Neurospora crassa OR74A: one gene and its partners. The protein of the gene in region 2 interacts with the protein of the main gene of each other region in a pairwise test. Links are inferred from orthologs where the notes say so. Each region holds a gene or a part of one and is shown on either strand. Other genes may lie near its edges.

What was found.
Region 1: the proteins of NCU11175 (region 2) and NCU09131 interact in binary tests that used the Saccharomyces cerevisiae proteins (3 or more experiments, as listed by UniProt). The link is inferred for Neurospora crassa OR74A from reciprocal best matches to the Saccharomyces cerevisiae genes DRS1 and NOP12.
Region 3: the proteins of NCU11175 (region 2) and NCU01257 interact in binary tests that used the Saccharomyces cerevisiae proteins (3 or more experiments, as listed by UniProt). The link is inferred for Neurospora crassa OR74A from reciprocal best matches to the Saccharomyces cerevisiae genes DRS1 and EBP2.

Annotation. Positions count from the first base shown.
Region 1 is NC_026501.1:5,442,062-5,446,380, forward strand, and holds NCU09131 (nucleolar protein 12), read left to right. Parts: upstream 1-1,502; 5' UTR 1,503-1,804; coding exon 1,805-1,815; intron 1,816-1,878; coding exon 1,879-1,942; intron 1,943-2,003; coding exon 2,004-3,113; intron 3,114-3,182; coding exon 3,183-3,782; 3' UTR 3,783-4,238; downstream 4,239-4,319. Other genes in the region: NCU09130 (hypothetical protein), read right to left, coding at 1-900.
Region 2 is NC_026503.1:3,109,918-3,114,198, forward strand, and holds the start of NCU11175 (ATP-dependent RNA helicase drs-1), read left to right. Parts: upstream 1-1,455; 5' UTR 1,456-1,626; coding exon 1,627-3,354; intron 3,355-3,411; coding exon 3,412-4,173; 3' UTR 4,174-4,281. Other genes in the region: NCU00234 (hypothetical protein), read left to right, coding at 1-969. UniProt on the Saccharomyces cerevisiae protein: ATP-binding RNA helicase involved in ribosome assembly.
Region 3 is NC_026505.1:3,393,320-3,396,881, reverse strand, and holds NCU01257 (hypothetical protein), read left to right. Parts: upstream 1-1,284; 5' UTR 1,285-1,340; coding exon 1,341-2,295; intron 2,296-2,422; coding exon 2,423-2,778; 3' UTR 2,779-3,062; downstream 3,063-3,562. UniProt on the Saccharomyces cerevisiae protein: Required for the processing of the 27S pre-rRNA. Probably involved in the step of the processing of the 27 SA precursor into the 27 SB intermediate.

The DNA of each region.
Region 1 (4,319 bases), on a different chromosome or scaffold from region 2:
GTCTTCTTCGAGCGCATCCGTGGGCTCCGTTTCATCTTTCGTTACGCTATCGGCGCCAGCCGTGATGGTCGGCTCATTAATATTATCTTCCTCGGCAGACTGGTTGCCGCTTTCGGGGTTCGTCGAAATGACCTCAATGTCGACGACAGGCACGTCATCGGCTGAGAGCTTTTCGGGAAAGGTATTTGACTCAGTCCGCCTTTTGAACGGTTGGCTGAGATCTTGTTGCTCGGTGACTGAGGAGCGTTTCCGCTTTAGGATATCATGTCGGGGTGATAGTGTGAGGATCTTTTCAGGCGAGGCGGAAACTATTTGTACTTTCTTCGCCAGCACGGGAGATCGCGCAGGTGGTAGTTTGGCAGCAAATTCAGGCTCTTCGTCACTCAGGTCTTCCGAGGCCTCTTCGTCACCCACTTCTGCTTCTTCTGAGGGAGTGTTTCGCCCGCTGGCAGTGTTTTCCGGTTCGTAATCAGATTTGATTTGCTGCTGAAGCTTGCTAGGGCTGCGCTCGAACGTCCGATCGCGGCGGTCGGTGAATTGTCGAGTGCCAGGCTCACCCGCGGTGTCTACGATGTCGCGCGATACTCGATCTTTCGGTGGTGTGTCGTAGAGCCTCTCTGTCTCTGCCTCGGAGTCATTAATATCCACGTCCGACAGCTTGCTCTCGTCGTCAGTCTCAGCGCCAAGGTCCGAGTCGACGCCATCGCGATTGTCAGTTCGGACCGATGTCTCGCGATGTTGAGAGTGGTTACTGTTCATGTCCAAATCCATGTCGTCAGGATCTCCATGCTTGTCTTCCACGTCACTAAGTGGGCTTGACACATCGCTAGGGCTGTGTTGGAGCAGAGGCGGAGGGGGGCTCGAGAGAGCCAAGGACAGCGCGGTGTCACCGGTAGCCATCGCGGATCATAGAATCCGACGAGATTGAAACTAAGCAACGACGCGCCAATGTTGGGTTGAGCAGCTGAGCAGTGGAAAGTTGGACGGCCACGTAGAATTTAGTCGTGGACGGCGGACTGGACGTCCGAACTGTACGGGCAGCTCAAGAGCAGCACCTGAAGTTGTGGCGCCACGATCAGGGTAAAGTGTGTTTATGCCGGAAGGTTAAAATGTGTGCTCGCACACAATGAAATGTCTCGGAGATATGGCTTTGTTGTCGGTACGAGGGCGCGATTGTCAAGAGATAACGTGCGGTCTGGGTAGGTAAAGTAGTAGGAAGACAGATCGGGAGAGTGAGGAGCGGGCAGTAGGTATCTGGTTGACGACCTAGACTGGGAGCTGGACAAGCGCCCACAGCACCGCACCAGCACGCAACACAAATGGGCAACCGGCAGGTTTCTGGGGGGCTCCATTGCCTGCCCGCTTGCCTGCCGCCGCCGCCCGTCTCCAACAGCCCAGCGCACCACACAAAGGCGATGGCAGGCGGTGAGTCTTGGCAGCTTTGATAACAACTGATAAGCGAGTTTTTTTTTTTAATGGGAGGATGCAAGATGTTCCACGGTCCTCGACTCGTCCTTACGATGCGCAGTGGGGAAGGTAGAAACGACGACCCTTTGAAACCCTGGACCATTGAACCTGCCTGCATAGAAACTGGTCTTGCCTTGTACAACATCCTGCTAGAAATCAGAAGTGGAAGCTTTGCAATTCGATTTTGACAGCATTTACAGCCAATCACATCTTTCGCCTCGTCGTCGAACTTCAGTTGTTTTTCCGTGCTCTTAGAACTAAGTCAATCACAAGTGCTTGATTGGCGAATCGTGCCACTTTCCCATCCATTGCGCTTACACACGACGGAAAACTCACAATGGGTAAAACGTGCGAACAGCCCTACGCTACAGTCAACGCCATTCTTCCAGTATTCTGACACCACTATTATAGTAAAGGACTCGTTGCGCCGGTGAAGAAGGTTGATCCTAGCTTGGATGCTTTGTTTGCTACCAGTGTAAGTCATCTCGCTCTGACCAGACAGGCAATTGGAAGTTTACATGGCTAATCTTGTGTAGGTTGGTCCAGCGAAGCCCCGCCCAGCTGCAAAATACTCCGAGCCCCTACCGACAAAGTCCAAGAAGGCGCCAGTACCTTCCAAGAAAGAGGAAGACGTTCAGGACGAGGGCGATGACGAGGAACTGAGCGAGCTTGACGAAGAATACGATTCCGAGGTCGGCATTGGAGAGGATGACGAAGACGACGAGGCTGAAGACAACAGTGACAGCGAAGACGAAGCCGTCGCGACCCTCGAAGTTGTTGTAGAACAAGGAAAGGTCCCGGAAGAAGATGGACCGAAACGGAAGCGGAAGCAACCCGACCAGCACGACAATCTCGAACACAAATACCTGTCCAAGTTGGCGGAGGACGATGAAGAGCCGGCTGGCAAGCGTCTCAAGGCCGACGAGCAATCCGGAGAAAAGAAGGATACCGCCAAGGCCGAGAAGAAGGACGACGACGACAGCGAGTCTGCGGATGAGGTCCCCGTTCACGAATCGCTAGCGCCCGATGCTGCCCAGAACGAGATTGAGAAGGCCAACCGCACCGTCTTCCTCAGCAATGTCGCCGTCGAGGCCGTCACCTCTCGTTCGGCCAAAAAGGCCTTGATGAAGCATATGGCTTCAGTGTTGGACAAGGAGGCGAAACCTGCGCAAAAGGTTGAGTCGATACGGTTCCGCTCGACTGCCTTCGCTACCGCTGCCATTCCCAAGCGTGCCGCTTATATCAAGAAGTCCGTGATGGAGGCCACTACGAAGTCGACAAACGCCTATGTTGTCTACAGTACCCCTGCGGCCGCTCGTCTTGCCTGCTCGAAACTCAACGGCACAATCGTGTTGGATCGCCACATCCGTGTCGACAGCGTTGCCCATCCTGCCCCGGTAGACCACAAGCGCTGCGTCTTCGTCGGTAACCTTGGTTTTGTGGATGACGAGACAGTACTGCAAGTGAAGGTAGACGAAGACGGTAAGGAGGTGACCGAGAAGAAGAAGCGGACAAAGCAGCCTATGGACGTTGAGGAAGGTCTCTGGCGGGTATTCGGTAAAGAGGGCGGCAAAGTTGAGAGCGTTCGTGTGGTCCGCGACCCTGTCACCCGTGTCGGCAAGGGCTTCGCCTACGTTCAGTTCTGCGTGAGTTATCACTTCTCTCTGTCTCTTACTTGCCCGTTATCAACTAACAACTCTGTTCCCCCTCCGTAGGATGAAAACGCCGTCGAGTCAGCCATCCTCCTCAACGGCAAGAAATTCCCGCCCATGCTCCCCCGCGAGCTACGCGTCAGCCGCTGCAAGGCCCCTCACAAGACCCTGCGTGCCATCGAAGCCAAGAAGCTCAAGGCGCAGGGTGCCGTTCCGGAAACTATGAAGAAAGGCAACAACGGGAAGAAGGGTCCTGGCTCCAAGAAATCCGACTACGCCCCCAAGATCTCCGCCGAAGCCAAGACCATCGCCGGCCGCGCTGAGAAGCTCCTCGGCAAGTTCACTGCCAGACAGGTCATCGGCTCCGACAAGAAGAAGACTTTCAACAAGCAGGACAGATACCAGGCCAACCAAAGGAGGAATCACGCCTCGGGCGCCAACACGGAGGCGACCGGTCCCAGAGTCCCGGGCGCCTACAAGTCCCCCGAGAGTTTCATTCTCGAGGGTAAGCGTGCTAGTGCGGCAGACGGAAAACCTAAGGATCTCAAGTTCAAGGGCGCCAAGAAGAACAAGGCGCCGAATGCGGGTGGTGGTAAGAAGAAGACTGGTCGTGCTGCTGCGAGGGCTTCGAAGTGGAAGGTTCAAGGGAAGGGGAAGAAATAAGTGCTAGGCCATTTGCCTGATGTTTAGGGTTGTTTGCTGGTATAGAGCCAACGGGCAGCAGCCGGCGTGGTGCGGGTGCGCGCGTTTCATCCGGCGCGGCCCGTGGATTTTCAAGCTTCAAGAAAAGGGGCAGAATTCGAAAGTGAACAGAAGCCTTCGATTCATGACGCGCGCATGTATGGATAGGATAGGATAGGCTGTAATGCAGTCATCGCATATGAAGGTATCTCAACGGACTGTCCCCAACCGCGTGATACTTCGCAATGACGGGAATGTGGAGGAAGAGCCTTGGCGCCCAGAACTAGGTACATATGTAGTTGTCTGAAATTGCAGTATAACCGTGGAACGACTGTTAAGCCTGGCTCCGTGGTTCTTGCGACAGGGAATCGCAAACAATACAAAAATTAACAACACGGCCACATTGAAAGAAAATAAAAAAGAAACAACGTGTAAAGCCTTCAAGTGCACCATACCAACTTTCTACATGATGTCTCGTGGAATTGTGGGTGAGCTGTGTAGGGTAAATAGGCAAGTCCC
Region 2 (4,281 bases):
AATTTGAGCATCACCGGACGAGAACTCGAAGCTGCCCGCGCAAAGACTGTCCAGCCAATTCCTACGTCATACGGGCCGAACCCTGTCACTCCCACGCTAACGCCGCGGGCAAGCTCCAGGGGAGAACTTAATGAACGCGCTGCTGCCGACTCGATTTCCCTTGACAGCCGGCTTGGAGTACCCCCAATGCCCTCATTGCCCCAGTTATCTGCGGCCTCCGCAGCACCTCTCGGTGGCTATTACCCCGATTACCACAACTACGAACAGTACACCACCCCTCCTCCAACCGAAGCTCCAACTTCAACACCACATCTTCCTCTTCCTTCAGTTCCTACTACGCTCCCACGACCAAACCCAACAACCTCACAAACCCAACGGCCACAGCCCCCATTAATCGTCTCATATGGACCCAACCGAGTAACGCCCACTCCAGCTGTGACTTCGCCTACAGTGCCTCCCGACGAGTCTATGATTGAAAGACCACCTAGAGGAGTTGAATTACAAGGCGAACCCGCATCTCTGATGGAAAGGAGACATCCATGGGAGGACATTGATCTCCCGAGCGCCAGTAATAACGGTCCTTTACCACCATACGCATCGACAGAGGAGTACGCTGCAATGGAAAGCGGCGCGATCCGTAAGCTGGAGGAGCCAAGGGCGCATGCTGAGCTGCCACCAACCAAAGATGGCTACTATCATGCTACGTGGGATATTGTTGAGCACGAATTGCCAGGTGACGGATATCAACGAGACCCTCTCTACCCGCAAGCATCCGCGTCCGGACGTGGAAGGGATATCGATGAGCAGAAATTCTTGCTGGATGATGTTGAAATGGCGCATTTGAAGGCGCAGAAAGAACGAATCCGCGCTGAAATGAAGAAGAAGCAGAAGCAGAAGGAGACTTACCAGCAGGACCAGGGGCATGACCAGGACTTCCTTGGAGCGTCGGCGAGCTTCTCCACACGGTAGCACGAGTGATAATGTGGCGGTCCATGTGAAGAAAGTTACGTTGTGGGCAACTGATGTTTTGGAGGCGAAGGTTTGAGGATTAGCATTATACCATTGGCAAGGTGTCTGGCGTTCATTTTGGGTATCGACGGGGTAGATGACTCCTGTGTAGTATCATCATATAATACGGGCTGATACATCTGCGTTGAGAATAGCTGGACCATATGCCCCGCACAAGTATAAATATAGTCCTACTGTAGTAAGGACAAGGTCCTCTGGCTCTATAACATGAACGCGTATTCAATTTCTTGGGACAATGTGGTGTTGAACGAGTTGCTCCCGAAGACGGCAGGTACTCACTTGATAGTTGAGATGGTACGTACCCATCCCCGCAGCTGTCGACCAGCTGCCACTGATAAGATCCCCAGATCCTCCAATCACATTGACCGCCCGGCAGAAAAAGTTACAGACGGGCATGGTTCCCAAATTTTTGTTTTCCCTTTCGTTCTGCGGCGGAGGAAGAGACGAAAAAAGACCCCACTGACTGCTATCAGTTGTACAATCTTGACGATTCCACCAATTCCCACTCAGCATCGGGAGCTTCCCGTCGTTCTCTTTTCCAACACAACACTACAGAACAAACAACGGTCACAGACCGTTGCAACACCATCCACCACAATGGCGCCCTCCCAAAAGCGCAAAGCGATCGACGACGATTTCATCCTCACCATTTCCGACAATGAAGAAGACATCCCACTAGAAGAGGAGCAAGAAGTTGTACCCAGGAAGAAGGCCAAGACGGCCACACAACAATCGAACAAGCAAAAGAAGAAGAACAACAAGAAGTCCAAGAAACAGCAACAGACTGAAGATGACGACGACGAAGCCGAAACAAAAGAAGACGACGCCGCCGACCTCGGCATCTGGGGCGACAACGACGAAGACGACGGCGCCATGGATACCGAGTTCCAGTTCGTTGTCGACGGCCAGAACGAAGTGGACGCCGAGTTCGACGGCTGGGGTTTCGAGGGCGCGCACAAGGGTGTTGTGAAGGGCGCCAACGCGGGCGGGGACAAGAAGGCTGTGGATATCGATGAGATTATCAGAAGGAGGAGAGAGAGGAAGGCTGCTAAGGAGGGGAAAACCACGGCGACAAAAGAGGAGGAGGATAAGATGGAGGTTGATGAGGAAGAAGACGACATAGAAGAGATTGATGTGGATTTGGATGATGATGAGGATGGTGTCTTGGCTGACGATGCTTTTGGTATGGGTGTTGGGTCGGACGTGGAAGAGGAGGAGGAGAAGCAGGATGCGAAGATGGGGGGTGTTGATGGGGAGGATGAGGATAGTGAGGGTGAAGATGGGGAGAAGAAGGGAGAGGATGAAGACGAGGGCGATGCGTCGGATGATGACTCGGTTGCTACGGCCGTTGAGCATCCTGATGATGTGCAGTCATCGGATGATGAAGAGGGTATTGATGAGGAGGAGGAGGCCAAGATGAAGGAGTTCTTTGCGCCGGAGGAGGAGAATCAGCCTAAGAAGAAGGGCGAGATGTCTTCGTTCCAGGAGATGTCTCTCTCCCGTCCTATCCTTCGCGGTCTTACTTCCGTGGGCTTCACCAAGCCGACGCCCATTCAGGCCAAGACCATCCCCATTTCGCTTATGGGTAAGGATGTCGTCGGTGGTGCCGTCACCGGTTCCGGTAAGACGGCCGCCTTCGTCGTTCCCATCCTTGAGCGTCTCCTCTACCGTCCCAAGAAGGTTCCCACCACCCGCGTCGTTATTCTTACGCCCACCCGTGAGTTGGCTATCCAGTGTCACGCTGTCGCTGTCAAGCTCGCCAGCCATACCGACATCAAGTTCTGTCTGGCTGTCGGTGGTCTCAGTCTGAAGGTGCAAGAGGCCGAGCTCCGTCTTCGCCCGGATGTGGTCATTGCCACTCCTGGTCGTTTCATCGATCACATGCGCAACTCTGCCAGCTTCGCCGTCGACACCATCGAGATTCTCGTCCTCGATGAAGCCGATCGCATGCTCGAGGACGGTTTCGCGGACGAGTTGAACGAGATTCTTACCACCCTTCCCAAGTCCCGCCAGACCATGCTGTTCTCTGCCACCATGACGTCGTCTGTCGACAGGCTCATTCGCGCCGGTCTCAACAAGCCTGTGCGCATCATGGCCGATTCGCAGAAGAAGACTGCCGGTACGCTTGTTCAAGAGTTTGTCCGTCTCAGACCCGGTCGCGAATCGAAGAGGGAAGGATATCTGTTGCACATCTGCAAGACTATCTACACGGAGCGTGTCATTATCTTCTTCAGACAAAAGAAGATTGCGCACAAGATGAGGATCATCTTTGGTCTGTTTGGATTGTCGTGCGCCGAGTTGCACGGTAGCATGAACCAGGCTCAGGTATGTTTACGATTTACGATGCTCCAGATGGATGAGTGATACTAACAGGATCCATAGCGTATTCAAAGTGTCGAGGACTTCAGAGATGGAAAGGTCAACTTCCTCCTTGCCACCGATCTCGCCTCACGTGGTCTTGATATCAAGGGTGTCGACACCGTCATCAACTACGAGGCTCCCCAGACCCCCGAGATCTACGTCCATCGTGTCGGTCGTACAGCGCGTGCGGGCCGCAGCGGTACCGCTATTACCCTGGCTGCTGAGCCCGATCGCAAGGTCGTCAAGGCTGCCGTCAAGGCCGGCAAGTCTCAGGGCGCCAAGATCAGCAGTCGCATCATCGATCCCGCGGACGCCGACAAGTGGCAGGCCGAGATCGACGAGTTGGAAGATGAGATTGAGGAGATTATGCAGGAAGAGAAGGAGGAAAAGCAGCTGCAGAACATGGAGATGCAGGTCAAGAAGGGCGAGAACATGATCAAGTACGAGGACGAGATCAGCTCGAGGCCCAAGCGCACGTGGTTCGAGACGCAGGAGGACAAGAAGAAGGCCAAGGCGGCGGGCCGGGCCGAGCTCAACGGCGTCAGGGACAAGCTCAAGTCCAAGAACGAGGGCAAGTTGAGCAACAAGGACAGGAAGAAGCTCGACACCATGCAAGAGCGCAAGCAGGAGAGGACATACAAGAAGGGCAGCGCCGAGAGAGCCGGTAAGGGCGCGGTGCTGAACCTCAAGAAGGTCGTCAAGAAGGTGGGACGGTCTGCTGGGCCTAAGAAGAAGGGCGGCAATGCTGGTAAGGGTGGTAAGGGCAAGGGCAGGAGAAAGTAAATGTGAGGAGCACGATTCTGTTGTTGTTGTTGAGTTTCTAAATGTAATTGAGCTTCAAGCTAAGTCTAGTGTGCTTTTGATACCCGAGTGGGCAAAAAGAAATAAGAA
Region 3 (3,562 bases), on a different chromosome or scaffold from region 2:
CTTCTTTTTGTTGGGGATAACTTCACACGGGACTACTTTTCGTCCACACGGAGCTTTCCCTCTTCAATTTTCGACACTCAGGCAACTCACCTTATCTTTCTGGACCCTTTCTCTCTTTTGTCGTTGATTCGACACCAAACACCCTTTGCGGACTGAGGACATCGCCGGCGGGAAACGATGCAGCAACTTCTCTTTGGTTCACACTCTTCGGCAAACGTCACCTGGGAGTCGGCGGACTCACACCTTCCAACCTCAACCTCTTCCATCTGCTGGGAGGGAGCTATTTCGCGACATGCTTCTCTCTTTTGTTGGGTGGGACTTGCACGGGCTTGGGTATGGCGCTTGGTTCACCACTCCTTTTTCTTTGCGCACTTTCTTGGAATTTTCTTGGATAGGACTGTAGAGGAGGGAAGTCTTCCTTTCTGTCTTGGCAGGGAGGGGGGACTCGCGGGATGAAATTTGTGGAGGGGGAGGACCATGTGGGGAGTTTTCACTGTATCTTTCTGATCTTGGTTTGCGGAGGGGAGGGATTGTGGGGGTGAGTTGGCTTGGTTGAAGGATTTGAAGAGTGTTAGTTCTTTTAATAAAAAAAAAACCCCGGTTGACACCATATCTTTGGATGCTCTCATGACCGTGACTACCTCTATGATTGTGAATTTCATTATCATCGTATGCCTCTTCGTAAGACTTTTCAGAGCAACTGACTTTAGTGATAAAGCTGTCAACTTGCAAATGGAACGCTTGATCGATCATCAAGGCAAGATACGCGGAGGAATGGCCTCGGCTCCGAGAAAATATACTACATCCCATTACATGTATCAGCTCGACGTCCCAGACATATTTCTGATCTGTTTCGGCCAGGTTAGGTTCGTGATGTTTGCGCGGGACAAGGCTCCTCCACTGAACGCGAAGTTTGATGTATCAGGAGACTCGTGTTGAATCACCTTGACACAGGCTGCGGGTAGCTTACGAGAAACTGGGCAGAGATACACAGGGCATGGTGATATACACTAGCAATCAATCTTGAGATCACCGAGAAAACGCAGTTCGGTGGGTGACCATCACCGTGACTACAGGCCCATTGTAACTCGTAACCTGAGGGTTGGGGTTTGATGTGCCAGATTCAGAGAGAGTGTGAAGGGCACTTCCAGGAGCTGGGCTGTGGATACCTCTATGCCGGGCGCCAAGCATCCACATTTGGGTCCGCCTCCGACCCACCAGGCTTATCTTATCGGGTAATGGCAGCCGCCATGTCAAAAAAAAGTTTCCAGAACTGCAAGCGCTGCCGCTTCTCGAGCTCATCATCCAAATCGATTGTACAGCAACCCCACATAATCACAATGCCGCGACAGTCCACCCGCACAAAAAAGCCGGCCACCAAGGCTCTTGAGGCTGAGAAGATCGAGAAGATTGTTGAAGAGAAGCCCCAGAAGGAGCAGAAGAAGCGTGGCAGAAAGCCCAAGCAGGTCGTCGAAGAAACCCCTGTAGAGGACAAGATGGATGTCGAGGAGGAGCAGAAGGCGGAAGAAACCACCACTCAGACCAAGGCCGACGAGAAACCAGAGCAACAGGAAGAGGCCGGTTCAGATTCTGAGGAGGGTAGTGACGACGAAGAGGACAACGATCTCGATCTTGATGCACTTGACGAATCCGATTCCGACTCAGAATTCGAGCGCGACCTGAACGAGAAGCAATCCGCCGCCGGCATCCAGGCAAACAAGTACCAGAAGGCCGCCGAGGAATCGAGCGACGAGGAGGAGGACGAGGATGAGATCGACATTGATGAGCTCGACGTCGACGGAGAAGAAGGAGAGGAAGTCAAGGCCATTTCGAGGGCGCGCCAGACAATAAACAACAAGCAAGGTCTCCTGACGGCGCTCAAGCGCTTCGCCCTCGACACAACCGACAAAGTCCCATTCGCCTTCCACCAGTCCATCGTTGCCAAGAAGGTGACGGAGGAGTCCATCCCCTCGATCGACGACGACCTGGCCCGCGAGCTGGCCTTCATGAACCAGGCGCTCGAGGCCGCCCGCGTCGGCCGCGCCCTCCTCCGCAAGGAGGGTGTCCCCTTCACCCGCCCTACCGACTACTTTGCCGAGACGCTGCGCAGCGACGAGACTATGGAGAAGGTCAAGGCCAAGCTTATCGAGGAGGCCACGGCCAAGAAGGCCTCGGCCGAGGCGCGCAAGCAGCGCGACCTCAAGAAGTTCGGCAAGCAGGTGCAGGTGGCCAAGCAACAGGAGCGTGCCAAGCAGAAGCGTGACACACTCGAAAAGATCAATCTTCTCAAGAAGAGTACGTGCCTCTCCTACCCTTCTCCTTCCCCTTCCCTTCTTAATTCCATAACAAGTTCTCTTCCTCTTCCTTCCCCTCCCCAACTTGATGATAACTGAAGCCAACTAACCTCCGCCTCCTTAAATAGAGCGCAAGGACGGCGGTGGCCCCACCGGCGCCAACGAAGCCGAAGACCTCTTTGACGTTGCCGTCGACAACGAGCTCAAGGGCGGCCCTGGCGGCAACAACAGCAAAAAGCGCGGCCGCGACGGCAAGGAGGGCGGCGGGCCCAACGCCAAGAGGCAACGGAAGGATGCCAAGTTTGGCTTCGGCGGCAAGAAGAAGTACGCCAAATCCAACGACGCCCTCTCGTCGGGCGACGTGAGCGGGTTCAGTGCGAGGAAGATGAAATCGGGCGGCCCAGCAGGCGGCAAGCCCAAGAAGTTCAAGCCTGCGCCTAGGCCTGGTAAGGCTAGGAGAAAGGCGGGGGCTGGAAAGAGGTGAAGTGAGTAAGCTTCACTGTGGCAGGAGCGAGAAGAAGCAGTGGAAGTGAAGAGCGGTGTCGATGCCATGATGGGTAATCTGTTTAGTTTCCAACCTAGTACAACAAAAGGTCAGCACGGCAGGTTGGTGACAAAGGTGGTAGTAGCGTGTATGAGTATACATCATCATGGGACCGGTCATACAACAAACATCATTGAAGGATTCAGATCAATTCAGTAGCCACTACCTTTACTTAGATACCTAAAGAGTTCTTTTCATGCCTTACAGTTTGATGGTGTTACCCGCTTGGCTCAAAGGTCCTTTTCTCATATCATTCATCTTGCAGAATGGCTATATCCGTTCACCCGAACAAACGGGTTCCTTACTTTCACCTTCATTCAAAGGCCCCCGATGTCGGCTCGTGAACAAAAACAAATCTCGGTCACTACAGTTTGTGAGAGTATCATCCTGTCACGGACGAGCCGCGCAAGGGCCATCGCTACTTTAAGACTAGGTACTTCAGATACACTAATACACGAGACATCCCCCTTTCACTCCTCGAACCCGCATGGTAAGGGGTTTGATGCGCAACACCATCGTAACGCCTGCTTGCTGCTATTCATCGAGACGAGCCTAAACCCAAACCCAGATTCAGACCCAAATAGACCTGGGAAGACCCATAACCACCAACGCCAGACATAGACCCGCCTTTCCTGAAGCTACAAGCAAATAGAAGAAAGAAACAACAACACAAAGAGCGGCTCATCCAATTCAACCCCACCGCTGTGTGGGATTAGGACGAAAA